Linked DNA regions of Callithrix jacchus. The protein of the gene in region 3 interacts with the protein of the main gene of each other region in a pairwise test. Links are inferred from orthologs where the notes say so. Each region holds a gene or a part of one and is shown on either strand. Other genes may lie near its edges. The genes, in order: ZSCAN12, TOR1AIP1 and LMNA.

The links.
Region 1: the proteins of LMNA (region 3) and ZSCAN12 interact in binary tests that used the Homo sapiens proteins (3 or more experiments, as listed by UniProt). The link is inferred for Callithrix jacchus from reciprocal best matches to the Homo sapiens genes LMNA and ZSCAN12.
Region 2: the proteins of LMNA (region 3) and TOR1AIP1 interact in a two-hybrid assay, tested with the Homo sapiens proteins (2 studies listed by BioGRID). The link is inferred for Callithrix jacchus from reciprocal best matches to the Homo sapiens genes LMNA and TOR1AIP1.

What each region holds. Positions count from the first base shown.
Region 1 is NC_133505.1:2,711,169-2,721,818, reverse strand, and holds the start of ZSCAN12 (zinc finger and SCAN domain-containing protein 12), read right to left. Parts: upstream 5,229-10,650; 5' UTR 5,144-5,228; intron 4,036-5,143; 5' UTR 3,969-4,035; coding exon 3,564-3,968; intron 1-3,563. UniProt on the Homo sapiens protein: May be involved in transcriptional regulation.
Region 2 is NC_133519.1:23,462,609-23,472,710, forward strand, and holds part of TOR1AIP1 (torsin-1A-interacting protein 1), read right to left. Parts: intron 8,080-10,102; coding exon 8,023-8,079; intron 4,670-8,022; coding exon 4,628-4,669; intron 4,204-4,627; coding exon 4,135-4,203; intron 1-4,134. UniProt on the Homo sapiens protein: Required for nuclear membrane integrity. Induces TOR1A and TOR1B ATPase activity and is required for their location on the nuclear membrane. Binds to A- and B-type lamins. Possible role in membrane attachment and assembly of the nuclear lamina.
Region 3 is NC_133519.1:16,525,721-16,535,822, reverse strand, and holds the end of LMNA (lamin), read right to left. Parts: intron 8,039-10,102; coding exon 7,913-8,038; intron 7,651-7,912; coding exon 7,480-7,650; intron 7,270-7,479; coding exon 7,144-7,269; intron 6,595-7,143; coding exon 6,374-6,594; intron 6,282-6,373; coding exon 6,059-6,281; intron 5,613-6,058; coding exon 5,505-5,612; intron 5,414-5,504; coding exon 5,294-5,413; intron 4,869-5,293; coding exon 4,779-4,868; intron 4,042-4,778; coding exon 3,772-4,041; intron 3,452-3,771; coding exon 3,425-3,451; 3' UTR 2,449-3,424; downstream 1-2,448.

The DNA.
Region 1 (10,650 bases), on a different chromosome or scaffold from region 3:
ACGCTAACTTTTTTTCTGAGGCAGAGTCTCACTCTGTTGCTCAGGCTGGAGTGCAGTGGTGAGATCTTGGCTCACAGCAACCTCCGCCTCCTAGGTTTAACGGATTCTCCTGCCTCAGCCTCCGGAGTAGCTGGGATTATAGGCATCTGGCACCACACCCAGCTAATTTTTGTATTTTTAATAGAGACAAGCTTTCACCATGTTGGCCCAGCTGGTCTTGAACTCCTGACCTCAGGTGATCCATCCGCATCGGCCTCCCAAGTGCTGGGATTACATGCATCAGCCACCGCGCCCGGCCCAAACCCTAACTTGATTCCTGTCCCTCCATCCCAAACCCACTTCTCTCCCAGTCTTTACCATCTCTATGAATGACAAATCCATTCTATCTGATGTTCAGACCAAAAAAATGGGCATAATCCTTTACTTTCTCTCATATCCCACATTTTATATAAAAATGAATCCTCTCAAGCTCTTCCTTCAAAATAAATCCAGAATCCAATCACATTTTACCACTTCCACTGCTACTACTCTAGACCAAGTCACCAGTATCTCTTGCCTGGAATATTGCTTATGATCATTGCTCCTGAAATGGTTTCGTGCTTCTGCCTTTGACCCCTGTGCCTACCCCAGCCCCACTGTGGAACTTTCACATAGTAGCCAGAGTGATCATTTAAAAATTCAAGTCAGATTATATCTCTCTTCTATTTAAAAACTCTCCAATGACTGTCCATCTCAGAATTCAAAATTCTTACAATGGCCTACAAGTTCTGACACAATATAATCAATCTTAGAACCATTTTATTTCATCTCCTGTTTGACAAATACTACATCTCTACCATGACAAGTACATTTTCACTTTAAAATCCTCTGCCTTGGCAGGGCATGGTGGCTCACACTGATAATCACAACACTTCGGGAGGCTGAGGCAGGCAGATCATGAGGTCAAGAAATCTTACCATCCTGGCCAACATGGTGAAACCCCGTCTCTATTCACCAACATAGTGAAACACTGTCTCAAAAAAATTAGCTGGGTATGGTGGTGTGCACCTGTAGTCCCAGCTACTGGGGAGGCTGAGGCAGGAGAATCATCTGAACTTGGCTGCAGTGAGCTGAGATTGTGCCACTGCACTCCAGCCTGGTGACAGAGCAAGACTTCATCTAAAAAAAAAAAATTGACCCTCTGCCTGAATGCTGTCATCCTTGATAGCTGTGTGGCTTGCTCTTTCCATTCAGATTTCTCCTGTAAATGTCACCTATCTGAAAAGCCTTCTCTGACAAGACTACCAAAAACAGGGCTGTCCCCATTTCTTTCACCATTCCTTTTCTCTGCTTTTATCATTGTTGTTTGAGCACATTTGACTGTCACTTATATCTTGTATTTTTTTTTGGAGATAGGGTCTCACTGTGTCACCCAGGCTGGAGTGCAGTGGCATGATCTCAGTTCACTGCAGCCTCAATTTCCTAGGCTCAAGCAATCCTTCCACCTTAGCCTCCCAAGTAGCTAGGACTACAGACACCTGCCACAGTGCTTGGCTAATTTTTGTATTTTTATAGAGATGGGGGTCTCACTATATTGCCCAGGCTGGTTTGTCGATTTTTACTTTACTATCTGTCTCTCCTCAGTAGAGTAGAATCTACATGACAGCTGCAACCTCCCATGCTTTGTTCGCTGTTACATTCACGGTGCCCTAAATAGGACCTAGTCCAAACAGATATTCAGTAAGTATGTACTTAGTAATTGCCTACAGTCTTTGTTAGGAATGTCTCCATTATACTAGCGCTTTTTTATTTTATTTATTATTATTATTGTTGTACTTCAGATTCTGGGGTACACGTGCTGATCATGCAGGATTGTTGCACAGGTACATACATGGCAAGGTGTTTTGTTGCCTCCATCCCCTCATCACCTATACCTGGCATTTCTCCCCATGTTATCCCTCCACCCACCCAACTGTTTTCCCTGTAGCGCCCCCAGAAGCCGTTATACTAGTCTTTCAAGCTTGAAATCCCTAGTGTTTAGCTTAGATTGCTCTGTAAAGATTTCTCCATTGGTTCTTCCTTCTTTACTTAATAGATCTGTCATCACTTCCAAACAATTCTTACCTAAGATAAGCCTCATCCTTGGTAATCACACTTTCATGATCCTATTTCTTTCTTTGTTTTTGTTTTGAGACAGAGTCTCACTTTGTTGCCCAGGCTGGAGTACAATGGCACAGTCTTGGCTCATTGCAACCTCTGCCTCCTGGGTTCAAGTGATTCTCCTGCCTCAGCCTCCCAAGTAGCTGGGATTACAGGCACGTGCCACCACGCCTGGCTTACTTTTGTATTTTTAGGGTGGTCTTCAACTTGTGACTTCAGGTAATCCACTCGCCTTGGCCTCCCCAAGTGTGAGGATTATAGGCATGAGCCACCGCGCCCAGACTCATGATCCTGTTTCAAACTAAGATCTTTTTGCCATGTTCCTACCCTCTTTATTGTCTTTTGTATCACAGTGCGAGATGATACTTCTGTTTTATCATTTCACCAAGTTTCAAACTCTTTATAACAGGGTTTCCTAGTGCCTACCCTCTTTACTGTCTTTTCTATCACAGTGCTAGATGATACTTCTGTTTTATCGTTTCACTAAGTTTCCAACTCTTTATAACAGGGTTTCCTAGTGTTGCCTCTACTGACATGTTGGTTCAGATAATTGTTTGTCTGAGGCTGTCCTTTGTGTTGTAAGATGTTTAGCACCAGCCTTGCCCTCTCTACCCACTAGATGCTAGCAGCACCTCCCTGAGTTGTAACAACCAAAAATGTCCCAAGACATTGCCAAATGCCCTCCGGGGCACAAAATCGGCACTGGTTGAGAAACACTGTCTTATTTTATTGTTAAAAAGAAAACAAAAAAGTTCTGCATAATTTGATTCTCTTTTACATATTACAATTAGTGAAGCTCATTTAGACTCAAGGAGAAAAGGTTGGGGGGGGGGTCTGTCCTACAGAATAAAATCTCAATCGTTGAGATTCAAGGTCCTGGACGCTATCTCAACTCTTCTACTCAGAATTCCCCTTTCTAATCTAACTGGGCTTTCTACTACTCAAAGCAGCATGGATCCCTGCCCTGCTCTCCTCACTAACTTTCCATTGTACTCCCACATCTCAATCCCTGAAATACTTAATTTCTCCATTTTAACATCTTGTAATAGAGTCAGAGCAATGCATATATCTGCAAAACCTTAATTCTTAATTATTTGTATTGTGCAATAGAGGGATGCCCTTTCAAGAGGCTGCTTCCCATCCTGCTGCTTTCATCTGATACCTGGCCTTAGAAGTCTTCTAAGATGAGCAGTATGTTTATCAAACAGAATTTTGTAACTTAGTAAAGAAATATAAAATCCTTCCACAGAAAAGTTACAAATAAGTTTAGCGCATTAGCCAATTTTCCATGAAACTCATGCCCCTTTCTGGTGCATCAAACTGTCAAGAACATGCTTTGTGGAAAAAATGGCTCTTCTTCACTCTGGCACAGAAATCCACAATTTATCTTTTCTCAAGCAGAAGTCACATCGTTTCTTTCTCACCCTGTCTCCGGGCTCATCCAGCTCTCTCTCTAAATCCTCCAGCACAGTCACCACGTCCTCCCCACTCTCTGGATGCTGCCCCTGCACCCAGGCCTGGAGCTCCTCAGGTAGGATGGTCAGGAACTGCTCCAGCACCAGCAGCTCCAGGATCTGTTCTTTGGTGTGGGTCTCTGGCCTCAGCCACTGACGGCAAAGCTCTCGGAGTCGGCTCAGAGCCTCACGGGGACCAGATGTCTCCTGGTAGCACAACTGTCTGAAGTACTGACGGAAGACCTCTCTGCTATGGCTGCTGTTTTTATGCAGGTTCCAGTCCCGTCTGGTGGTAAACTTCTCCTCCTCCTCTATCTTTACTTCCAAAGGTTCATCCTGGTCCATGTGGGCCTGGATAGCCCAAGTGGATGCCATTTCAGCTGTGCAAGAACTATTGGTGTTTCAAGTAAGATCTCCCTGGAAAATTTCTTCCTGGACCATCCTGAGGAGTAAGACATTATTATTAATACAAGCTACACCATAAAGGAGAACTGCAAGTGCTGAGAACTTGGAAAGCCGGCCTCCAGATTAATGTACAATACTCAGAAAAATACTATGATAGAAAAGACTTAAGATTTGACCAATTTAAAGAGAAAGACTGAGGAAAGGTGCCGAGTTGTTTCAGGATAGAAAAGACTTAAGATTTGACCAATTTAAAGAGAAAGACTGAGGAAAGGTGTCGAGTTGTTTCAGGATAGAAAAGACTTAAGACTTGACCAATTTAAAGAGAAAGACTGAGGAAAGGCACCGAGTTGTTTCAGGATAGAAAAGACTTAAAATTTGACCAATTTAAAGAGAAAGACTGAGGAAAGGCGCCGAGTTGTTTCAGGATAGAAAAGACTTAAAATTTGACCAATTTAAAGAGAAAGACTGAGGAAAGGCGCCGAGTTGTTTCAGGACTTTAAGAAGAGTAAGACTTGTTAGTAAACTTATTCTCATTTGGTCCTAAATGAAAGACAAATAGAATAAAACTAACATTCAGAATAAGTAAATAATAATGATGAAAGGTTGGGACACCCTTGATTAGTTACTTTTATCTTTTAAATGTCCAGATGTCTGCTGGAAACCGTGAAATCATAAAAGCAACAAAGTAATGCAAATGTATTTCCTCAGGGACTTAATCTTTCTGCTCATTCTTCATTTATAAAGCGAGAGGTTACTCTTTAAGGCATCCCTCCACCCTCACGGTCTGTGATTATAATCTGAAGTGAGGCAGGCCCAGGAAAGGGTCCCTAGGACGCAGGCCAGCGTGGGCGACTCGCCACTGTCCAGGAACGTCGGCAAGCGCTGACCCCAAGGATACACAGCCCGAGGCAAACCTGGAAGGTATGAGCCTTACAGCCGGGAATTGCCGCAGACACTGGGAACCGACCCCTCATCCCCAAAGGGTCCCAACGCACTTTGGGGAGGGAGAGCTTCCCGCGGATCCGCCCGGGATTGGGAGGACTGGGGTGCCCTCTACACCAGCCAGAGCCTGAGGGGCCCACCGGCGGGAATACGGCAATCTCCCGCCCACCTGCTCGCCCCGCACAAAGGACAACACTGCTCACCTGCGGCCGCCGGCGCCAGCACAGGACTCCCTCCTAGCGAGCGAAGGGCGGAGGCCTCCAACCCTTTCCGGAAGCGGAACCCATCAAAAGTGATCCACAAAGGCCGGAAGCGGCCGCGGGGGGGGGGGGGGCGCACTTCCGCAGTCGCTCCCGGAAGGGGGCCGGAGGGGCTTTCGCCTCAGTAGTGTTTCCGCGCGCCCTCGCTAGAGCGAAGCTGAGCGCTCTCAGGCCCGCGGGTAAGAGGTATGGGTTTATCTTCCTCCTTTTCTTTACCCAGCCATTGTCCACACTTCCCCCGACCCGACGGGGGGACTGATTTGCAGGGTTGCTAGTTCCCAGCCAAAGAACTGAAGACTGGGAAACCCCTTGCGTCTCCATTCGCTTTGGGTCCGGAGGTGCTTCCCGACACCACGCTTGGTGGTGCCGAAGGGACTCCTGCCACACACACATCCAGAGGGCCAGCCTACTGGTTTCTGCTGGCGATTTCGCCACCCACGATTCTCTTGATGCTCTTTTTTATGCACTTATGATACATTATACACCAGAAAGCCCAGTTCAATGGAAAAGCTATATAAAAAGAATAATTTAGTAAATTAGCAAGATATAAAATTAACACACTAAAATCAACGCCCTTCATATATGTGAATAGTCAATGATAACGAGTTACGAGATAGAATGGAAGAGAATTCCATATTTACAATAGCAACAAAAAAAGTGAAAATAGGAATAAACAAGAAATGAGCAAAACTTCTCCGGGGGAAGCTTTAAAACACTCCTAAATGGCCAACTGTATATTAAACAAACAGAAAGCAATATGCTGTTCTTGGAAAGACTCAAAGAGGTCAGTCCTCCCTAAATATGTATGCAACTATAGTATTCCAACAAAAATATCAACCAATATTGTTCTGTAATTAGATAACTTGATTATGAAGTTCAAGTGGGGACATAAGTAAGAATAGACAGGAAACCCATGAAAAAGAACAATGGTGAGGGACAGCCTTTTCAGATACTGGAACATACACATATTATTTTAGTTAATTAATAGACAAAGAATATACCAGAAATAGATGCAGGTATATAAGGATATTCAGTGAGTGATGAAGGTGACATCACATATAAATGGGAAAATGAATCACTTAGAAGTTGTACTGGGATGACAACCATTTGGCAAAGCTAAACTGGATTTCTATTTTCCACCACACATTGCAATCGACATAAATTCTAAATGGATCTGAGATCTAAATGTAAAAAATCCACCTATACATGTATTAGAAGAAAACATGAATAATAGTTCTAACACTGGGAAGGGGAAACATCTAATAATATGACTCAGAATCCAAAAGCCTTACAAGTAACAAATCTGACTACATGAAATTAAAATGTATTGTTTGTCCAAAAAAACACCACAAGTAAAGAAAAAGGTTTGCAACATATAGAGAAAATGACCAGAAGATAGTTGACAGAATAAAAATGCTAGCAGCCCCCAAACATCTGTAAAAAATGTTCAACTTCACGCAAAATATGAACATACAAATTAAAAACTATGCTGAGTGAGGTACCATTGGCCATTAGATTGGCAATGGTCCAAAAGTTTGACAGTACATTCTACTCATGAGGAAGGGGAAACTCTTAACATATTCCAGTGGGAATGCAAAACGGTGTGACCCATAGGTGGGAAAAATAATACTATACAGCAAAATTATGTATATAAGTTTACCCTTTGTTCCTGCGATCACTTCTAGAAATCCATCTCAAAGATACTTTGACAAAAATATGAAGTGATGTACACACAAAATTAAATGGGATCAGGGGAGACCTGACTTTTAAAATGCGAAATATGAGGGAATGAAATTGAGAAATACTCAGCAGGATAAATGGATCAGGGCTTCATCATTGACTATGTGGGGGTTAAGAGAACCAAAAAAAGCCTGGCATCATCAGAGGATGGTGGTCCCTCCACCAAGACCAGGGACACTAAATGACAGGTAGCATGTTGAGAAGAAATGTATGAGCTCAGCTTGGTCACGTTAAGCTTGAAATCCTGGAAAGCATCACACTGTCGATGTTGCTATTTGTTAATGGATTGGTTTAGGGATTTGTGGGTCTAGGAGTCATGAGAAAAGAGTTAGCTTGAGATCCATATTTTGGAGCCTTCTACCTTTCAGTAATTGTTAAAATGATTAAGATAGCTCACGAAGTGTGTGGTGCTAAAAGACAGCCTAGGACAGATTTCTGGAGTGCCCTTTTGTAGACTCTTCTTTCAGGGCATCTGGGGAGAAGGGAGAGAGATCCCTCCTCATACGTTGCCAGGGCTCAAATCTTATGTGAAGCCATACAACATCTCAGAAAACAACAGACACAGAGAAATTATTGGACAACTTGAATTCAACCTGGAACTGAACCTCAAGCTCACTTTTGGGTTCTTTTCTAGGCATCTAGAAAGATTTTTACAACTCAGTGTTTTCCGAGTTCCACTTGGCATGACTTACTGCAAGAAGCTGATATGGAAATCTCACTTAAAAAGTCAGCTTGCACCAAGGATGACTGACTTGCCGCAGTTCCCAGGGACATAGGTAAAACAGTCAATTTTTTGTCATAGGTGCACTGTAGCCACAAGAAAAGAGCATCTAAGCACAAAGAGATCTTAAGACAGAGAGAACTCTGAGTAAAACCATTCTCCATCTTTTGACTCTGGAGAAATACAGGGATATAGAGACAAAGAGCAGATAAAAATGGATCTCCAGAATACCTTTATTTTAAACAATTTTTGCCTAATGTTATTACTGACGCTTTTTGGCCATTTTACTAACCAAATAACTCTAACATTTAAAAAGGAGAAAGTTTCTTGTGATATATTGGCAAGCCTTCTAACTGCCCTTAAAATCAAAAGGGAAAAAAAGCAGATGTTGAGATCCAGAACTCAAGGAATAAGAGAAAAGGACTGCAGGAAGTATTTCATTTACAGATTTGAAATTGGAAGCCGAAAGCAACACAAAGTTTTATGATGTGAATTCTGTGAGCTTCAGAAAGTATATAGTTGAGAACACAGAGACTTGAGAGAAAGCATAGAGTGAGAACACAGGTAAATGTATCTAAAGGCAGAACTCTCAGGGTTCACATGGGCACAGTGAAGCACATAGTGAGAACACAGGTTACTAGATCTAGAGGCAGAACTCTCAGGGTTCACATGGACACAGTGAAGCATATAGTGAGAACACAGGTAAATAGATCTAGAGGCAGAACTCTCAGGGTTCACATGGACACAGTGAAGCTTATAGTGAGAACACAGGTAAATGTATCTAAAGGCAGAACTCTCAGGGTTCACATGGGCACAGTGAAGCATATAGTGAGAACACAGGTAAATAGATCTAGAGGCAGAACTCTCAGGGTTCACATGGGCACAGTGAAGCATATAGTGAGAACACAGGTAAATAGATCTAGAGGCAGAACTCTCAGGGTTCACATGGACACAGTGAAGCATATAGTGAGAACACAGGTAAATAGATCTAGAGGCAGAACTCTCAGGGTACACATGGACACAGTGGAATGTTTTGCTTCCTGTCTACACCTCTGATCGGAGAGTCCATAACTAGCTGTTTTTTTTTTAAAAAAACAAATAGTGTCTAATTGATGAACTACTGATATCATTTGGTTTTTGCAGGTCATCTCTCAGCTGTCTTGAAGGAATGTGCAACAGATTAAGAAAAAGTCTGAAAACTATTTCAATAGGTCCATGCTGGTAAGCAGAAACTGAGCCATGTAACTGCATACAACTTGAATAAAACCTTGTTTTAAAAAGTGAGTTAAAAAAGTAAAAGTGAGTAAAAATTTAAGCTGCCCTCCCTCCCAGGGAGACAAAAATAGGAGCTGAGAATAGTAACATAATCATACATTGAAGATTGTGATTTAAATTCCAATAGAATATTGCAGATATTCAATAGGCACTGTTTAGAGTAAACAAACAAAAAAACAAGAAAGCAATAGAACCAAATTGCTTAGTGATGTGGAGGTGGCCATTATGAGAAGCAGGGATAGAAAAGGCAGCCCTCAGGAGTACTGGGTAGTGTGTCAGATGATAAAGTAGATCTGTTGCTTTTCATCATAAAACCTCGTTTGCTGTTTGATTTTTTAAATATTATAAACCTTTCAGGGCATAGTGTTCTATAAAAAATTATAAGCTTATCTTACTTTGATTAGAAAAAGACAGTAGCATGTTGGCAATTTTCATGGTTAAAAAGAGAGAGAGAGAGAGAGAGAGACAACAGCAAAAGAAAAATTAAAGGGCAGTGGTGCATGCCTGTAATCCCAGCACTTTGGGAAGCCAAGGAGGTAGGATCACTTGAGGCCAGGAAGTTGAGGCTTGCAGTGAGCCATGATTGCACCACTGCACTGAAGCCTGGATGACAGAATGAGACTTGGTCCCCTAAAAAGGAAAATTAACATTTTGTGTATTTGTCGAAATGCAGATGCCCAAGGTGAACAATGCCCAAAGTGAACGAGATGAACATATTAACAAAATAGTAAAATGTACCTGTGCTAGAAGCATCCACCAGGCAGTTTTGTTTAACACAAATGATTTCTTTGGAAGAGCCAGATGGTAATCTGAGTTACAGGTCCTCAGGGTCTTGAAATTTATAGATCACTAAGATCTCATGGCCCATCCACAACATCTGCTGTGTGTGTGTGTGTGTGTGTGTGTGTGTGTGTGTAGAAAAGAGACTTTGATTTTTTGGTAAAACTGGTGTTTTTTTGCATGACTTCTTAGGGGCCCTATAGGAAATTCCTCCCACTTTGAAGACTGTTGAGTTTCGTCTAGGATTGAATAAAAGCATTGAGAATATGTATATAAACAACGGAAAGGAGAAAGGGAGAAAAATAGGGAAGGTGGTAAACTGTGTCTTCCACAAACACTAAAAGGAACACTGTTGGGAGCTGCAGCAGCAGCTAATTTTGAAGTCATGAGGAGAGAGGGCGACACAAAAGCAGAGCACCTATTTAAGAGAAAGGGTCTGAATCTAAGAGATTTTGATATAGGACTGAACCTCACTCTGGCACTTCATAACTGAGTGGCTGTTTTATAAGATTTAAGATTCTTTGATGAAGGGACACGACATGCTGATGATGAAAAGCAGAACTTTGTTACTTACAGCTCCAAAAGAGAGAAGCCGCCATGCAAAACGACACAGAGTAGGACCCAGGGACAAGCTGGAGCTGCAGAAGGCAGTGTATATATGGCAAGCAGGAGGAGTTAGCTGTTTCAGGGGCTCCCTTGGGCCGGTTAATTTCATGGCCTCTGGGTTACAGGTGCTGTCCCTGGTTGTCTCGTACCTGTCCTCAGACAATGAGGGAGGACATTCTCCTGTTAATGGAGGCAGCTGTGGTGTGTGCACTGTGGCTTCAGAGAATGGGGGCCCAATAAGTCAAGAGATTGGGATGGGGGCTTAGCAAACGACCTGCAAAGGGGAATTGAAGAGTTGTTAGCCATCACTTTCAAACTGGGTCAAGAT
Region 2 (10,102 bases), about 6.9 Mb from region 3:
TTGTTTAGAAAATAAATTAAGCATGGCACAGTGGTTCATGCCCATAATTCCAACAACTCAAGAGGCTGAGGTGAAAGGACAGCTTGACCACAGGAATTTAAGACAGGCCTGGGCGACACTGTGAGACCCCATCTCTTAAAAAAAATTAATAAAAAGAAATTAAAGACTATCCTAACCCTTTACTTTCACTTCCATCTTTCTAAGCATACTAGCAGGTTTTAAAATCTAAGAGAGGATATGGAGGGACAGGCTTCAGAAGGTGGAGAGGCTCAGTTATCTCATTCATATGACCTATATTACCAGTATTGCCATCTATCACTTGCCTGGACTTTTATAACTTTTGTATATATAAATGAACTTCCTGGTGAATATTCTTAGCATTATAGCAACAACTTTCATTTGAGAAACACTGGAATAACTGGAGGAATAATATTAGCACTGCTAAGATTCAGAATAGCCTTATTTTTGGTCATATGACAAAAACTCCATAATGATATAAGACAAAATGACAGCAACTCTAAAAGGAATATTGTTTTTCAATTAGTTTAGCTTAGGACATTTCATTATTTAGAAGCTTCTAAGTTAGGATTTCAAAGTTACAACTAAAATAACAAAATTTTAAAAACCTGAGCACACAAAACCCAAAGCCATCAGATAATGTTTATTTTGAATACTTCACTCCATGGTTGCAAAGATCAAATGAGATAATATACACAAAAATGCTGTGAAGTGCAATTCTATGATGTTAATAATGAAGAACAACTAAATAATAATTATGTACCACATATAATATTTAGGTAATTCATATAACACAAACACATATACAGCAGGGTATATACTGCCAAGGCAGGACATTTTCTAAAGGGTCACTGCTATCCTTCTTATTAACATTATTACAGATGCTAACAATTCTAAGAAACATCTTTTTAAAAGAAAAAATCTGTCCAGGTGTGGAGGCTCACACCTGTAATTCCAGCACTTTGGGAGGCAGAGGCAGGCAGATCACCTGAGGTTAGGAGTTTGAGACCACCTGGCCAACATGGTGAAACCCTGTCTAATTAGCCGGGTGTGGAGGTAAGTGCCAGTAATCCCAGCAACTTGGGAGGCTGAGGCACGAGAATTGCTTGAACCCAGGAGGTGAAGGTTGTAATGAGCCAAGATAGCGCCACTGCACTCCAGCCTGGGTGACACAGCAAGACTCTGTCTCCAAAAAAAAGAAAAGAAAAGAAAAACTCAAGCTTTTCTAATCTAGAGTATGGTGACAATCACTCTATAACCATCAAGAGTAGAGGGCACAAATCCTCCATAGTTTCCATAGTTGCTATTGATTCTACAGAATACCTTGTTAACGATAAATAAGTCCTGATAATTATGAGATTTTAGACTTTAAAAAACGGTGTTTACACATGTAAGCTCATTACAATAATCTAGTTATAGGCACTATTGTCTCTAAAGGCAAGAAAATTGAGGATCACAAAGGTGATTTTACCAAGATTACTCAAGTAGTAAGTGGAAGAACTAGGACTGGAGCCCAAGAGCTTTAATTCCAAACTGTCTTCCTTTCTCTACCTAAATTTCTCAGACAGGTTCCAAAACATTTATATTAATGCTCTGACCTCTCCACGTACATATATCCTTCTCTATAATCGTTGTTTGATCACCAGGCAAATAGGAAAAAGTAAAGACAGTGGTTCCATCTTTCCTAAAAGGTTTGGATGCAGGCAGTAACCTGAACTAGGACCTGTCTATCCAGGAAACTGGTGCCAACATCAGGTGATAATGTTCCATGGGGTAGAATCTATAGTCCAAGGTTCTTGAACACTCAGATCTAAAAACACTCAGATCTTTTATTCCCCCATGAAAGCAGGCAGAAATATATAAAGAAATATATAAAAACATTTTTTAATAGTCATAAAGAGGAATCTATTATATAAGTTTGTGTGAAAATCACTGTAGTCTTCCACCTCCATTGAAAATATTTTCTTCTTGCTCATTGTTCTATCTTAAAGTCCTCATGTGGTTTAAAGTCTAAAAGATCCTATTACATGTACAATTCTGGTATGTTACTGTTACATAACTCTGAAAGCTCAATGTGGTATCTATATATGGTAGGTGGCTAGCAATCAATGTATAATTCTGTAAGCTATAATAAATATAGTAAGTTAAGACAAAGTAGAAATGCAAACAGATAAAATACTAAAAATTAGCTATCAAGTTAACAACTAAAGAGATCAATTTCTGCACTTCAATTACATGTTCAATATAATTAGTTTTCCTTCTGTACTGCAGTATCTTATTAGAAGAAAAACATTATGAAAACATTTTTTGGTAAGTATGTACTAATTTCTCGTATCTGGAAGCCATTTATCTGATATTAACTCCTCAGAATATATAGATAAGAACTTAGAAATGACGTAAAAAGTCTCTGAGCTTTTTACATTATATATACTAAAAGTCATGCATTTTTACATCCAACAGTATCTCTTGGGTCTTCAAATTTAAATGTTTGATTCTTGTTATAAACATAATTCTAATAGGCTGAATAATTAATATTTGGTTTCCTAACTATAATAGGTCAGGAAGAGCAAATTATAAGAGGAAATGGTCTTCTAAAAGCAGGCACACACTCGAAGCAATAAGAAATGACAACTAACAATAAGACAAGGGATAAGGTTATTTCAGTTCTAGGCTGCCAAAAAACTCACTTATATGTGGGCTAAAAACTTCACTTCTTGCTGGGCACGGTGGCTCACACCTGTAATCCTAGCACTCTGGGAGGCTGAGGCAGGAAGATCACCTGAGGTTGGGAGTTTGAGATCACTTTGACCAACATGGAGAAAACCCATCTCTACTAAAAACACAAAATTAGCCGGGTGTGGTGGCACATGCCTATAATCCCAGCTACTCGAGAGGCAGGAGAATTGCTTGAACCCAGGAGGCGGAGGTTGCAGTGAGTTGAGATAGCACCACTGCACTCCAGCCTGGGCAAAAAAAGCAAAACTCTGTCTCACAAAAAAAAAAAACTTCACTGCTGAGAAAAAATGAACTGTGACCACTCCTACTTTACTGATGGAAAAGCAGAGCCACAGAAGTCATCTGGTCCAATAACAGAGGTAATCATCCTAAGAGCAAGAGATGGATTTTTATATTATCTAAATAAAAGTAAGAATACCTGATGACCTCAAGACCTATTGTGGCTAGATGAGTAAAGGGACAGAGGTTAAAGGTCACTTAAGGCAGAGAATATGCATAGACTTTAAAAAAATAGGTCAAGATTTAAATGTGGACACCTATCTACAGAAATTACAGAAACTGAGTTCAAAGTAGATGGTTTTATCACATGAATTTATAGTATTCCTTAAATTCTGTGATATTTAATCCATTCAAAACCTAAACATGGGGTTAGGTGTGGTGGCTCATGCCTGTAATCCCAATACCTTGGGAGGCTGAAGCGGGCAGATCACTTGAAGTCAGGGAGTTCAAGATCAGCCTGGCTAGCATGGCGAAACCCCATCTCTACCAAAAATACAAAAATTATCTGGGTGTGGTGGTGCACGCCTGCAAGTCCCAGCTGCTCAGGAGGCTGAGGCACAAGAATTGCTTGAATGTGGGAGGGGAAGGCTGCAGTGAGTTGAGATCGTGCCACCGCACTCCAACCTAGTCAACAGAGGGAGACTCCATCTCAAAAACAAAACAAAACAACCAGAAAAAAAAATCTCTAAACATGAAAATATAACTTGTGCATTTCAGCCTTTATTATGTAAAATTATGAGTATACAAAGCTGTTCCAAGTGGTTATTTATGCAAAGCCTGCTAAAAGCAAAAAACAGGGTATTGTCAAAAGAGTAGAATTTCATTATTGTATACAGACTGTATTGCTGCTAGAACTGACAGCTTGTTAAGACCCATCGATGTCTGGTTTTCCCAAGCCACCATTTACATTCTACACCCAGCCCATGTGCTGCCAGACCAAGCAAATGGAAATTACTCAACTAGTAATCATAGCTGTACTTTATTATGTTAGTGAAATCACAAACAACCTAAACGTTTATCTGAAGAACTCAACGTTTTTGTCAAGCAAAATCTAGCAAATACACTTAGGATTAATTCAATAACAGGGATTTATTTACTTACTTTGCATCCTAGTCCTTATTCTTGCAGTATGTGGAGCCCATTCCTGGGGAGTTTTTTGATATCCTGAGCCTGAAGCAAATACATATGTCAAAAGATAATTTCCCATACTTTGAAAGTTTATACCATATTCCAGTGTTATAAAATTAATCTATCAGAAACACAAAATAAAGCAGGGGAAGAAAACAAAAAAAGCAAGAGTTTTATAAATAAAAGACAATTTCAAATGATCCTGTCCCAGTGAGGATGAACCACTTCCTATATAGCAAAGCAGGTAGCAAATAAATATACTATTACCTAATATAAATTACTTGTGGTAAAATAGCCCTGAACACATTTCCACATCACAGAATAATTATTACAGGCAGTACCAATCTGAGGTGGATTAAAAAGGGTAAGAAGGGGTAAAATGACTTAAAATCTTATTACAACTTTTGTGGAGAGAATAAGGCAAGGTTAGAAGTGATTGAAAAAGAACAGAAAACCAATTACTTACTTAGCACTGAAGATTGCTTATCATGAGCTGTGAAGTTTTGACCTGAAACAGAAAACAGGGATAAGGTCATAGAATACTTGACAATAACAACAAAAAAGATGTTACATAGACATTTTGTTTATTTACTGTGGATACTAAAAACAAACAACAAACAAAAAACATTCTCTAAATTCCAAGCATATAAGTAAATAAAGTATTTATGTTTAAAGCATACATATAGAATATATATATATACACAAAGCATGTGTTTGTGTTTCTTTCCCTCAAATTTCTAAACTTCAAAATGTTTAGGAATTGGACAACAACAAGGACTCAGCTTTAGGATCATACCATCAAAATAATGACTACATATAGTCTATGTGTATCAGCTATTGACCATAATTTTGCTTCTTTTTTTTCTTTTTTGAGACAGGGTCTGACTCTGTCATTCAGGCTAGAGTGCAGTGGTACGATCTCAGCTCACTGCAACCTCTGCTTCCCAGGTTCAAGAGATTCTCTTGCCTTAGCCTCCCGAGGAGCTGGGATTACAGGCATGCGCAACCACGTCTGATTAATTTTTTTGTATTTTTAGTGGTGACAGGGTTTCATTGTGTTGACCAGGCTGGTCTCGAACTCCTAACCTCAAATGATCTGCCTGCCTCAGCCTCCCAAACTGCTGGGATTTTAGGCGCCCAGCCAATTTTGTTTAATTCTTATGTGGTAGATACTATTATTGCTCCTATTTATAAATAAGGGAAAATCAAAATTGGTAATTTTCCCCAAATTATATATCTAAAAGTAGTGGGGCTGAGATACAAATCCAGGCAGTCCATATCACATACCACATACCATACCATAGAGAAATGGTATGTACTATCTATGCAGATTTATGGACATTGCAAAGTAGCTATGAAGTAAAAGATGCTGCTTCAGGTTTTGAGGTGGTTATTTGAGGATAACTGTAAAAGGACACAATGGGATGACTAGAAAAGGACATTACAATTATAACAAGGGAAATTTCCAAATCTGCCCTGAGGAAACGAATTACTCTTTGATGATACATACATGTATCAATTTACATTTATTTACTTTCAACTTTTTCTCAATACAAACATATGCTACCTGTTTAAAAAAAAGTGTCATTCTAGAAATGCATAATTTAAAAATTTGTGAATATCTATCTGTTACGTATCTACTATGTGCAAAACATTGAACACAGAAATACTATGGTAAATGAGGTAGACATATATTCTCTCAGCTTTGTTTTCAGTCTATACTAAAAAAAATACTTTCAAAAAACTGGATACATACTTAATATTTTCTTTCATCAAATTCAAAGACATAGTTTTTTCAGAGTGCCCTTTGACTACGGCTGTATCTTTTAATCTATGGTATGGCATGGTTTAATTAGATGGTTTTTCTTTCTCATTGATACATAAAACCAATGGCATCTTAGAGTCAATGAAATATATCTTGATCACCTTTTCATTAGAATACAATGAACTAACTCATTTCTCATTTCTAAACACTATTTCTTTCTTTTTGAGATGAAGTCTTGCTCTTTCATCCAGGCTGGAGTGCAGTGGCAAGATCTCTGCTTACTGCAGCTGTTGCCTCCTGGGTTCAAGTGATTTTCCTGCCTCAGCCTCCCGAGTAGCTGGGATTACAGGCCTACTACCATGCCTGGTTAAGTTTTGTATTTTTAGCAGAGACAGGGTTTCACCATGTTAGCTAAGTTGGTCTTGAACTCCTGGTCCACCTGCCTCAGCCTCCCAGAGCACTGGGATTACAGATGTGAGCCACCACGCCTGTCCTAATAGTATTTCACTGCACGGGTATAACATCCTTTATACAGGCAGATGCATTTAAGAGTCTCCAGAAATCAAAGATTTGGGGTAAAATAGGGAAAATACATAAAATAACTAGAAGAGTAATTTCCACAACTCATTTTTTTCCAGCAGCTAATTCATTTTATAGTAACAAATCCAAAACCTTCTAAAAATTAAAATTAAATAAATATATAAAATTGAATTCTATAAATACAATGATTATAAAACGGATTTCCAAAGGCTTTTTCTTAAGAAAAGAAAGTAATGTGGAAGAAAAAATAGTTCTTTAAGATTTTACAAAGATATTTTTGGTTGATTAATAATTAGCTCAGTTTTAAACCAGATTTCATAACTCATACTTCAAAAAAAAATAATAATTAACTCAGATTTTGGGAGACTTGATTTAAAAATGTCAAAAGAAAACAATAGTAGTACCAAAATAATAAAGGTGCTGGGCGCAATGGTTCACACGTGCAATCCCAGCATTTTGGAAGGCCGATGTGGGAGAAATGGGTGCGCCCAAGGGTTTGAGAGAAGCTTGAGCAACACAGTAAAACTCCCATCTCTACAAAAAATTTAAAACTTACATGCCTGTAGTTTAAGCTACTCAGAAAGTTGAGGCAGGAGGATCCCTTGAACCCAGGAGTTCGAGGTTACAGTGAGCCATAATCGCACCACTATACTTGCCTGGGCAACAGAGTGAGAACGTGTCCCAAAAAAAAAAAAAAAAAAAAAGAAAAGAAAAAAATAAAGTTAAAAAAAAATGTCACCAATGATTCTTAAGCAAATCATTACTAGCATTTTGGTCTATTACTTTCCAATCTTTTTTTGTTATATTTTCTCAACATTTGATCACAAAAATTTTCAGTTGTAAGACTGAAATGAATATTTATGTACCCATCACTTATTCGTTCATCCTTCAAAACGTTTTCTTTTCTTTTGAGACAGAGTCTCACTCTGTTGCCCAGGCTGGAGGGCACTGGTGCAGTATCAGCTCACTGCAACCTCTGCCTCTGGGTTCAAGTGATTCTCCTGCCTCAGCCTCCCAAGTAGCTGGAATTATAGGCATGCACCACCATGCCCAATTAATTTTTGTATTTTTAGTAGAGATGGGGTTTCACCATGTTGGCCAGGCTGGTTTTGAACTCCTGACCTCAGGAGTTTACAGGCATTAGCCACCATGCCTGGCTCATCCTTCCAAACTTTTACAACAGAGTTGAAATTGTACTAATATAAAATTTTATGTCCTTATTAGGGTAAGTCCATATAAATAGACTCAAACTACTATATTAGTCAGTTAAAATAAAAACAACCCATTTATATCGCGAGCAAAAACATTCAACAAATCATGGGAAGCAGTAGTTTTTAGTTTGTTTTTTAAGTTCAAATTCAGGTTTGGGTATAGAGAATAACAACTCAATAAGTGAGGTCAAGAGGTAGAGAGATATCGGATGAGTTGTTTTTTTTTTTAGCATTCATTATTCCTCTTTTTCAATATTTACATTAAATTTCAAAAGAGGATCTTCAAAAATAGGAATAGCATTTGACCAAGCCCACAGGGAGACCTGTAAACATGGCTTTACTTACTTTGTGATGACTGCCAAAATGATTCTGTATATTTACTAGATGATCTGGTGGTTTGATCTAAAAAATAAAAAACAACAGTACACTATAAATGATGTTCAACTTTTAAAATGCACATTTTATAAGACAACAGTGAGAATTTAATAAAAAGAGCAAAAATATTCAGATAAATCCCAGGTGATTAAAAACTTGGATGTCTAATTTATTTAAAAAAAGTTTCTGTTGAAAAATGTCTGTTCATATCCTTCGCCTACTTTTGGATGGGTTTGTTTGTTTGTTTTTTGCTTGTAAATCTGTTTTAGTTCTTCGTAGATTCTGGATATTAGCCCTTGGTCAGATGGGTAGATTGGAAAAGAAGACATACGTGAGGCCAACAAACACATGAAAAAATGCTCATCTTCACTGGTCATTAGAGAAATGCAAATCAAAACCACATTGAGATACCATCTCACGCCACTTAGAAAGGCAATCATCAAAAAATCTGGAGACAACAGATGCTGGAGAGGATGTGGAGAAACAGGAACACTTTTACACTGTTGGTGGGAGTGTAAATTGGTTAAACTATTGTGGAAAACAGTGTGGCACTTCCTCAAGGACCTAGAAACAGAAATTCCATTTGACCCAGCAACCCCATTACTGGGTATATATCCAAAGGATTATAAATCATTCTATTATAAAGACACATGCACATGGATGTTCACTGCAGCACTGTTTACAACAGCAAAGACCTGGAACCAACCCACATACCCACTGACGATAGACCGGACAAGGAAAATGTGGCACATGTATACCATGGAATACTATGCAGCCATAAAAAATGACGATTTCTTGTCCTTTGTAGGGACATGGATGAATCTGGAAACCATCATTCTCAGCAAACTGACACAAGAACAGAAAATCAAACACCGCATGTTCTTACTCATAGGCGGGTATTGAACAATGAGAACACACGGACACAGGGAGGAGAGCATTACACACTGGGGTCTATTGGGGGGGCCAGGGGAGGGACAGCGGGGGTGGGGGTTGGGGAGAGATAACATGGGCAGAAATACCAGATATAGATGATGCGGGGATGGAGGCAACAAACCACATTGCCATATATGTACCTATGCAACAATCCTGCATGATTTGCACATGTACCCCAGAACCTAAAGTACAATAAAAAAAAATAGAAAAGAAGTTTTTCTTGTAGGATAAATGATTTGCAAATATTTTCTCCCAATCTGAGTCTTCTCATTTCATTTTATTAGCTGTGTCTTTCACAGAGCAGTTTTTGATTTTGATAAAATTCAGTTTGCTTTTCTTCTATTGCTGATTGTATTTTCATGATATATCTAAGAATTTTTTTTCTAACTCAGGCTGAGGCAGGAGAATTGCCTAAACCCAGGAGGCGGAGGTTGCGGTGAGCTGAGATTGCACCATTGCACTCCAGCCTGGGTAACAAGAGCAAAACTCGGTCTCAAAAAAAAAAGAGATTTCCGATTTTTCTAGAAGTGCTATAATTTCACATTTATTCCTATACTACATTTTAATATTTTAAGCTGTGAGGTGTGGAAGGGTCAGGAGAGTTTTGTTTTTGTCTTCTAAAGGGTTTAATCGCCATTTATTGAAAACATTATATTTTTCTTAGTTGAACTGCCTTTGCACTTTTGTCGAAAATCAATTGACTATCTTTGTCTGTATCTATTCCTGGAGTCTCTTTATTTTCTATAGATCTACATGTCTATCTTGCCATGAATAGCACACTCTCTTGGTTACTGTAGCTTTATAATCAGCATTAAAATCAGGTAGTGATCACTCCCTCCAACTTTATTTTTCAAAAATTTTTTGGTTATTCTATTTCTTTTGCCTTTCCCAATAAATTTTAGACATACCCTGTCAATATCTGCAAAAATTCCTGCTAAGAGGCCGGGCGCGGTGGCTCATGCCTATAATCCCAGCACTTTGGGAGGCCAAGGTGGGTGGATCACGAGGTCAAGAGATCGAGACCATCCTGGTCAACAAGGTGAAACCCCATCTCTACTAAAAATAGAAAAAATTAGCTGGGCATAGTGGCACGTGGCTGTAGTCCCAGCTACTCAGG
Region 3 (10,102 bases):
GCCTAAAACAAATTTTTTTAATGCCCTGGGCAACATATATTTACTTTTTTTTTTTTTTTTTTTTTTTGAGAGGGAGTCTCTCTCTGTCACCCAGGCTGCAGTGTGTCGCGTGCTTGGCTCACTGCAACCTCTGCTACCCAATTCAAGCAGTCCTCCTGCCTCAGCCTCCCGAATAGCTGGGATTACAGGCATGCATGACCACACCAGCCTAATTTTTATATTTTTAGTAGAGATGGGGCTTTGCCACTTGGACAGGCTGGTCTCCAACTCCTGACCTCAGGTGATCTGCCGGTCTCAGCCTCCCAAAGTGCTGGGATTAGAGGCGTGAGCCACCGCGCGTGGCCCTTACCTGTGTTTTGAAATTTACTATATGATATGTATTTTGCTGTTGTTGTTGCCCAGGCTGTCCTCGAACTCCTGGGCCCAAACAATCCTCCCGCCTCAGGCCAGGAGTCGCTGGGACTACCGGCTTGCGCGCCACCGCCCAAGGCCAAGCATGTATTACATTTTAACAACATTTTTTTTTTTTTTTTAAACATAATGAAATGTGGCTGCTGGGTGCTGACTTGTGCTGTGAGCATCATGTGAGGTGACCACGTGTGCGGACGCCTTAACTGCTGAGTCCCCGGCTGCCGCCCCCGCCGTGCTGCCAGATTGTGGGGCAGTGTTTGCGTGCGGCCCTGTGCCCTCAGCCCTCTTCCTCAAGAGCTGGGAACGTCGCCTACTGCCCCCAGCGTTCCCCAGCCCACAGTGCCTGCGCAGTCAGCCCACCAGGGTTCAGCGAGCAGCGAAGGACCCCCACCCAGGATGTGCAGGCGCCTCGCCCGCCGTGATGGGGCTCTGGCGCCCCCAGGCCCCCAGCTCAGGAACTGCAGGAGGGCGTCTTCGCTTTGAGACACGCGACTCCTTCGCTGACATCTAAGACCCCATATCTGTGGGGCCTCAGGGTCTTTGCTGAGGCCTAGGAGAGGAAGGGTTTCCTTCTTTGAAACTGCCCAACCCAAACAGGGACCCCTTCCTCAAATCTTCCTTTTTTTTTTTTTTTTTTTTTTTGACACGGAGTCTTCCTCTGTCGCCCAAGTGGAGTGCAGTGGCGTGATCTTGGCTCACTGCAACCTCTGCCTCCTGGGTTCAAATGATTCTCCTGCCTTCTGAGTAGCCGGGACTATAGGTGCATGCCACTACGCCCAGCTAATTTTTTATATTTTTAGTAGAGATGGGATTTCATCCTGTTAGCCAGGATGGTCTCCAGCTCCTGACCTTGTGATCCACCCACCTTGGCCTCCCAAAGTGCTGGGATTACAGGCCTGAGCCACTGCGCCCGGCCTACCTTCCTCCTCTGAACCTCCCTTCCCCAAAGGCACGGTGGGGTCTCAGCCCATGGTGTAATCAGGAGTGTCCAGCATGACCCCAGGGGCCCTTCTGCTCTCAGTCATTCTGCTTTCTCACGTTTTCCCATGACCCTAGCCAGACATGCCCTTTTCTCACTGACTCCTGATGGCAGGCTCAGCTCTGCCCAGGGAACATAAATAAACTTCCAGAATCTTGGGAACTGTGCCACCTTCGAGCTGAGAGGCCTGAGTTCCAGTGGCCTAGAAGCCAATACCTACCTCTCAAGAAAGAATGAAGGCCAAATGAGATGTTGAAGAAATGCTTTGGAAACTAGGAAGGGCCAGAGAAAGGCTGGCTTATAGAATTCATTTTTCCTGTTTGGGACCCCTCCCTCAGTCTGGCCCCCAGGTTCGAGCACCCTGAGGCTACTTGTCCGGACACCTCCCTTTGTCGACAGTTTGTTTTCTGACTCCCACCGGGGTGTACTTTCCCTGAGGACACTGGCCATCTTGTCTTGTTCATTTACCAATCCCCCAAACTGAGCGCAACGTGGCACAAAGGGACATTAACTGCTCCTCTCCTCTGCCCTCTCCTGTAGTTTCTGTTCCCTCCTCCCCGGGGTGTCCTTGTCCCTACGTCCTGATAAGGTCACCATCCTCAGACTGGGTCTATATCATATGTCTTAGATTCAGGCTTCGCTCAGGGCCCAGCACGGAGAAGGCACTCAGTAACTGCTGGTGGGTAAGGGAAGTTGGTTAGCAGACGCCCTTCTTCAGGCTCCGCTTCTCTGAAGGACTTTCACTGGGAGAGCCACGCAGCGGGTAGTGATGCTTCTATCAAAGCCTTTCCCTCAGCTACCACCGAGTGCCCAGATGTGCACCCAAAGTACTCTGATCTCTAATTGTTTTCTCTGGAGCAGCGAAGGGCTGGGCAGCAATGAGCAGGAGGATGCAGTGATTGTGTGGCTCTGTGTGTGTGGTGCCGTGTGTGTGTGTGCGTGTGTGTGTGTGTGTGTGTGCGTGCGCGCGCGCGCACCTCGCCTGCATGCATGCCCGCGAATCTGCTTCTCAGTACACAAAGCGCCGTCCACCAACAAAGACACCACAGCAGCCGGGGTAGAAACAACTAGTGTATTGATTTGGGGAGGAGAGAAGGGGTGCAGATGGGAAATGGGGAGGCAAGGGTTCTTTAGTGTTCGCCAAAACCACTGCCACACCCCTCTACCCCGTCTCTTGCCTTCCTTCTCTGTGGCGCAGGCACCAGCAGGCTCTCACCCCTTCCAGTGACCTCCCTCTCCCTCCTCCCAGCACCCCACTTGGCTTCAACCTCCAGTGACTGCACAGAGCCCACCTAGGCTCTAAAGCTAGGGAAGGCAGCTCAAACTCACCTTTCTTCTCCCTTCTTCTACCTCCCACCTCATTCCCATCTCTTGTCTAAATAAAATACAGAAAAGCAAGCGCAGCTGGTACCTGGAAGAATGGAATCACCCCGGGGTTGGGGGCAGGGTGGGAACTGGGGGTGGGGCAGGCAGAGGAAGCTCAGCCAGGTGTAGTGGAATCGTGGGAGGCAAGGGCCAAGGGCTGGCTCAAGCCATCCTCTCTCTTCTTCTCCCTCTCTCTCCCTCTCGGAGGCTGGCCTGGCAAGTGGGCCTGCCATCAAGAGGAGGCTGGCGGAGAAACCTCCATGCCTGCCTCTCAGGCACCATGTCACGGGGTCCCCGGGGTGGGGGCGGCAGCCAGGGCGGGAAAGCAGAAACTAGCCTCTACAAAAGCACCCCTTTCCCTTGGCTTCTAGAGGAAGCCCTCTTTGGTTTTAAGGCAGACGTGGAGTCTCCTGGAAGCAGGGGAAAGGAAGGGAGGAGAAATTAGGATTGAGATAGATGCTTTTTTTTTTTGCTTGTGTTTTTCCTTCAGTATAAAACCACTGTAGAAAATATCTTCTCTTAGAAAAAAAAAATACAGAAGAAAAAAACCAAAGGCATATTTTTCTTTGGCTTCAAGCCCCCTCCCGTGAGGTGCAGGGCAGGGGGTGGGCATGAGGTGAGGAGGAAGCAGGATGCCTCTACCCCCACCCCTGCCTGGCAGGTCCCAGATTACATGATGGCGCAGTTCTGGGGGCTCTAAGAGAGAAGAGAGAGGAGAGAGGTGTGAGCAGCAGGGCCTGGACCTGGACCCTCCCTCCCCTGGTCCCTAGAAGGGAGGTAGTGTCTCCCCTATCCCTCACGCTCCAGCCCTGCCCCTGCCCTCCAGTCTGGGGCTCAGACAAGGGGCAGGATGCAGGGGTGGGCCGTCTAGGCCTCAGGCTGTGGGGAGGAGGCTCCCACTCCCCCGGGCTGCGGAAGAGAAGGCAGGCTCTCCCCCCTGCGAGGCCGCCTCATCCTACCCCTCGATGACCAGGGACCCACCTGCAGGGCTTGGAGACAAAGCAGAGACAACTCACCTGGGTTCGGGGTCTGGAGTTGCCCAGGAGGTAGGAGCGGGTGACCAGGTTGTCCCCGAAGCTGCCACCCCCACTGCCCCCCACACTGCGGTAGCTGCGAGTGACCGTGACACTGGAGGCAGAAGAGCCAGAGGAGATGGATCCGCCCACCTGGGCTCCTGAGCTGCCAGCAGATGCCTTGTCGGCAGGCTGCCCGCAGGTCCCGCACAGCACGGTGCGCGAGCGCAGGTTGTACTCAGCGGGGTCCCCCGAGCTGCTGCAGTGGGAGCCCTGGGGAGGGAGACAAGGCTCAGGCGGGACGGCGAGTCTGGGACTGACCACTCAGGCCCAACACCCAGGCTCTGGGCTCTTGCAGGCTCCAGCCACCAGGCAGGAAGGTGGGGTTCTGTGCCCAAGGAGCCAGTGGGTAACAGGGGTTTGGGAGGCCAGGGGCTGGGAGGAGGGGAAGGAAGATGAGAAATAGGAGAAGGCTCAGCAAGACTTGGGGACAGAGAACCAGAGCGGTGACTCTGACTCTGCTCCAGCTACTCTGAGCTTAAGAGGGAAAGAAGAGGGAAAGGGAGCATGCTTATAGGGCAGGAGGCACGCACTATTCATTGGAGTGGGGGCAGGAATGAGAGAACATTCTCACAGGAAGAATGAGGGAAAAGAGAGGATATGCATGCAACAGGAGTGGGGGAGAGAGGCAGGGCGGGCATGCCCCACGTCTGTCCTCCTGTCCCCTTCCCAGGAGACAAATCCAGACCCTTGTCCATTGCTCCCACCGGAATATTCCATGGCATCAGAAAGTTCCCACTCCCTTCCTTACCAGAGTAGGGCACCCAGACACCTGGGTTCCCTGTTCAAGGTATAGGGAGGAGAGAGAAGAAAGGCCAGGCCAGCGAGTGAAGTTCCAAAACATTCTTTAATGAAAAGATTTTTGGCACGGAAGGCTGGGGAGAGGCTGCCCCCAGGCCTGGCTGGGTGGTACCAGTACAGGCTCAGCCTCAGCGGCGGCTGCCACTCACGTGGTGGTGATGGAGCAGGTCATCTCCATCCTCATCCTCATCGTCCTCAACCACAGTCACTGAACGCACCAGCTTGCGCATGGCCACCTCCTGGCGGGGACACAGGACCAGGCCCAAGGGTCAGGGCCAGGGAAGGGGTGTGCAGCATGTCTACCCCAGTGACCACCTGCAGCTTTCCTTGTGGCCTGCCCTTTGTCCAGCCTGCTGCTTACTCTGCCCTCTGCGATGACGGAGCTAAGGAACTCATTTCTACCCCAGAGGGACACTGTCAAGTTCTCCGAGTAGGAGTATGATTCTGCCTTTAGCAATCCTCACTCACTGTCTGACTTCCACCCCGCGTGCTGTTGGGGAAGCATCTTTTGGTTTGCCTACTGGCTGGGAACATCTGGGGCCTGCACCAGAGAGCCCTAGAAAGGGGCCCTGAATTGGTAAACTTGGGTTGGGGGCAGCTGGCTCCGATGTTGGCCACTAGGGGGAGCCTCGTCTAGGAAGCAGCCCGGCCCCGGCATACGTACTTCCCCAGTGGAGTTGATGAGAGCCGTGCGCAGGCTGTTCCCGCAGCCCCAGGTGTTCTGTGCCTTCCACACCAGGTCAGTAGGGGGGCTATGGGTGGCCCCAGCACCTGCAGCCCAGATCTGGAGAGGAGGGATTAGAAAAGGACACTTACTCTAGCGCTCCCATTGCCACCCAAGGCCTCCCCAGAGTCCCAAGCACCCTGCCACTCACCGTCACCACCTGCCCAGCCTTCAGGGTGAACTTTGGTGGGAAGCGGTAAGTCAGCAAGGGATCATCTCCATTCTGGCGCTTGATCTGCCAGTTGCCCATGGACTGGTCCTGCCAGGAAGATAGGGAAGAGGAAGGTGGGGGAGGCTCACCCAGGCTCCTGGCTGTATCTTGGCTTTCTTCCATCTACACCCACCCCTGTCCCTGCCCTTCCGCCTGGGGATAATAGCCATGATCTGTGGACACATATGCAGCGCCAGGCACACGGATACCTTATCTGTCATCTTCCTGACAACTCAAAGACTTAGGGATCATTATTGATCCCATTTTACTGATGAGGAAACTGACACTCTGAAAGGTTAAAGAACCTGTTGAAGATCTCACAGCCAAGGAGTCCAGGAGCAAGGCCTGGAACTAGAGTGTGGAGGAGATATACAGGCTCACTCTGGTCCACCCTCTGAGGGGTGGGATGACCCTCTCTCCGCATGTCATCCCTCTGTCTTGCCACTCTCTCACTGATGCAGTTGTACCCCCTGAGACCCTGACCAGGAGCCTACCTCATTGGACTTGTTGCGCAGCCGGACAAACTTGCCGTCCTCGTCCACCTCCTCCACGGCCACGCGCCCACTAGTGCGTGCGTGCTGCGAGAAGCTGCTGCGGCTCTCGGTGGACTCCAATTTGCGCTTTTTGGTGACGCTGCCTGAACCCTGTGTCTGGGACGAGTGGGAGGAAGCACGGCCGCGGCTGCGCTGCGAGGTGGGGCTGGGGGACAGGCGTAGCCTGGGGAGAGGGAGGCCAAGTGGGGGTCTAGTCAGGGCCAGTGGCTGGCCAGAGGCCACTGCCACCACCTCCCCGATGCCTCCCCAACTCACCTCTCCTCCTCACCCTCCAGGAGCTTGCGGTAGGCATGGATCTCCATGTCCAGAGCCAGCTTGATGTCCAGCAGCTCCTGGTATTCATCCAGCTGCTGCTGCATCCTTGCCCGCATCTCAGCCATCTCCCGCTCCTTCTCTGCCAGCAGCCGCCGGCTGGTGTCCCGCTCACGGGCCAGCGAGTCCTCTAGGTCTCGAAGCTTCGCCTCCTTGGCTGCCAGCTGGGAAGGAGGGGATTGGGGGGGTTGGTGAGCTCCCAAGGGCCCCAAGTATGGAGGAGGAGGGACATGGCCACCTTCTCCAGGATCTGCAATCAGAGGCTTCCCCAGAGCCCATCACAAGCTCTAATCATAGTCTTGGCTGGCAACTGGGAAGTCCTTCCCCTTGTCCCCTTGTCTAACTGAAATCTCTCACTCTGAGGCTAGACCCTTTTTCTCCCATCACAGATGGCACAGCCAGCTAGAATCATACTGATGCTTTTAACACCTCACATTGCAGAGTCTTATGGCAACTCTGAGTCAGGGAGATTAAGAACAGCTTCCATTTCCGAGTGGGAAAATCGAAGCCTTGAGAAGTGAAGGCAAGGTAAGAGTGCAGAAGCAGCACACAGGCCGCCTGATGCCGCATCTTGCGACCCTTCTCTGTGGTCCTGGGGACATGTTTGTCCCTGTCCTCCTCAGGAACACCCCCCACAACCCGGCCCTGAGCTTCCAGCCTGCATCCTGCCCAGACTCCAGGCCCCTGGAGGGAGGGGTGAGGTGGGGTATCACCTGCTTCTGGAGCTGGCTGAGCTGGGCAGACAGGCTGTCGATGCGGATGCGTGACTGCTGCAGCTCCTCGTGGGCGGCCCCCACCAGATTGCTGTTCCTCTCAGCAGACTGCCGGGCATTGTCCAGCTGGAGGGAAGGACACAAGGGTAGGACGGTGATGACCAGGAGGGTGGAGGGATAGGCCTGAGCTGGGCATCACTGCCACAGCCTTGGGTCCTGGGCCGCCCTGAGCTCCCTGCCACCATCTGCCTGATCTCCCCGGCGGAACAGCCCAGCGTGGGCAAGGGTAGGCTGCTGCGGGCAGAGGCAGTGAGGGAACCAGGGGAGAGCAAGCACCTTGGCGGAATAAGTCTTCTCCAGCTCCTTCTTGTACTGCTCCACCTGGTCCTCATGCTGGGCCCTCAGTTCCTGCAGGGCATCCGCCAGCCGGCTCTCAAACTCACGCTGCTTCCCGTTGTCGATCTCCACCAGCCGGGTCTCATGGCGGCGCTTGGTCTCACGCAGCTCCTGGAAGGGTGGGAGCAAGGACCCAGAAACCAAGATTAGTTCCTGGGAGACCAAGACCCAGGGGCCGGGCTCCCTGCCCCGCTGTACCCCATGAGGCACTGCCAGCCCCACTTTAACCTCGGAGCTGGGTCTTGGCTATGCCCAACTCCCTGTATTCTAGGGCAAGGGACTCAGGAAGGTGAGCTCTGCACGCAGCTGGTCCCCCCAGCCCGAGTCTGTCATCACCCAGCCCCATCTCTGGCCTGCAAAGCACAGTCCCCACCTCGCTGTAGATGTTCTTCTGGAAGTCCAGTTCCTCCTTCAGGGTCTGCAGCCTGTTCTCAGCATCCACCCGCCGCAGCATCTCATCCTGAAGTTGCTTCTTGGCCTCACCCAGGGCTGCCTCAAGCTGTGAGGAGGCATGCAGAGGTCACGTAAAGGGGTCACAGAACACAAGGACTGGAAGGAAGCTGAGAGGTGGGCTGCTGCCCATGCACCCCTTTATACATGTGGAAACAGGTCCAGGGAAGGAGGGTCTTGGATGGCTGCAGAGGTCAGAGCATTCACTCACACCCTCTCGGGAGGTACTGTGCTAAGAAAAGCTATGTCCAATACAAAAAAGTAGCCGGGCATGGTGGCTCATGCCTATAATCCCAGCACTTTGGGAGGCTGAGGCAGGAGGATCTCTTGAGGCCAGGAGTTCAAGACCAGCCTGGACAACATAGAGAGAACGTGTCTATGTTCTAAGAAAAAGACGGCAAGGAAGCACCGGCTGACCAGGAAGGGCTGGGGGAAGGGCAGAGCTGGGAGGCAGGAGGTCAGACCCAGGAGAAAGGTGGTCTGGTGGTCAACCTGCTGGCTTCTCCAGGTCTTTCCCTGTTATACTGTGGTGGCAGGGCCTGGGAAGGGCGAGCACCCGGGATGGAAGCTTGGCCACTGACTCTAATCCTGGCCCTGCTGTGAACAGATGAGACTGTGAAATTAGGAACAAACTGCTTCTGATTCCTTTTTTTTTTTTTTTTTTTTTTTTTTTTGAGATGGAGTTTCACTCTTGTTACCCAGGCTGGAGTGCAATGGTGCAATCTCGGCTCACCGCAACCTCCGCCTTGTGGGTTCAGGCAATTCTCCTGCCTCAGCCTCCTGAGTAGTTGGGATTACAGGCACACGCCACCATGCCCAGCTAATTTTTTGTATTTTTAGTAGAGACGGGGTTTCACCATGTTGACCAGAATGGTCTCGATCTCTTGACCTCGTGATCCACCCGCCTCAGCCTCACAAAGTGCTGGGATTACAGGCGTGAGCCACCACGCCCGGCCTCCTTTTTTTTTTTTTTTAATTTAATTTTTTTTTTTTTTTTAAAGATGAGGTTTCAACATGATGGCCAGGCTGGTCTTGAACTCCTGACTGCAGGTGATCCACCCACCTGGGCCTCCTAAAGTGCTAGGATTACAGGCACAAGCCATGGCGCCCGGCGCTTCTGATTCCTAGCTTTTATTTATTATTTTATTTTTTTGAGACAGAGTCTCACTCTGTCACCTGGGCTGGAGTACAGTGACCCGATCTTGGCTCACTGCAACATCTACCTCCCAGGTTCAAGCGATTCTCCTGCCTCAGGCTCCCAAGTAGCTGGGATTATAGGTGCCTGCCGCCACACCCAGCTAATTTTTGTAATTTTAGTAGAGATGGGGTTTCGCCAGGCTGGTCTTGAACTCCTAACCCCAGGTGATCCACCTGCCTTTGCTTCCCAAAGTGCTGGGATTACAGGCATAAGTCACTGTGCCCAGCTATTCTTTTTTTTTTTTTTTTTTTGAGATGGAGTTTCATTCTTGTTGCCCAGGCTGGAGTGCAATGACACAATCTCAGCTCACTGCAACCTCTGATTCTGGGTTCAAATGATTTTCCTGCCTCAGCTTCCCAAGTAGCTGGGACTGTAGGTGTGCACCACCATGCCCAGCCAATTTCTTTAAATTTTTCTTTTCTAGAGATGGAGTCTTACTGTGTTGCCCAGACTGGTCTCAAACTCCTGGGCTCAAGCAATCCTGCCTCCTTGGCCTCCCAAAGTGCTGGGATTACAGGCATGAGCCACCACACCTGGCCTCAATTATTTTAAATTCACTCTGCTAGATCCCATGGGTGGCCAAATTAGGATAAGATGTGGCCAGGCCGGGAGCGGTGGCTCACAGCTTTAATCCCAACACTTTAGGAGGCTGAGGCAGTCAGACCACAAGGTCAAGAGATTAACACTACCCTGACCAACAGGGTGAAACCCCATTTCTACTAAAAATATAATATTAGCTGGGCATGGTGGCATGTGCCTGTAATCCCAGCTACTCAGGAGGCTGAGGCAAGAGAATTGCTTGAACCCGGGAGGCGGAGGTTTCAGTGAGTCAAGATGGCACCATTGCACTCCAGCCTGGTGACCAGGCAAGACTCCGTCTCAAAAAGAAAAAAATGTGGCCTCAGTGGGTGAAAT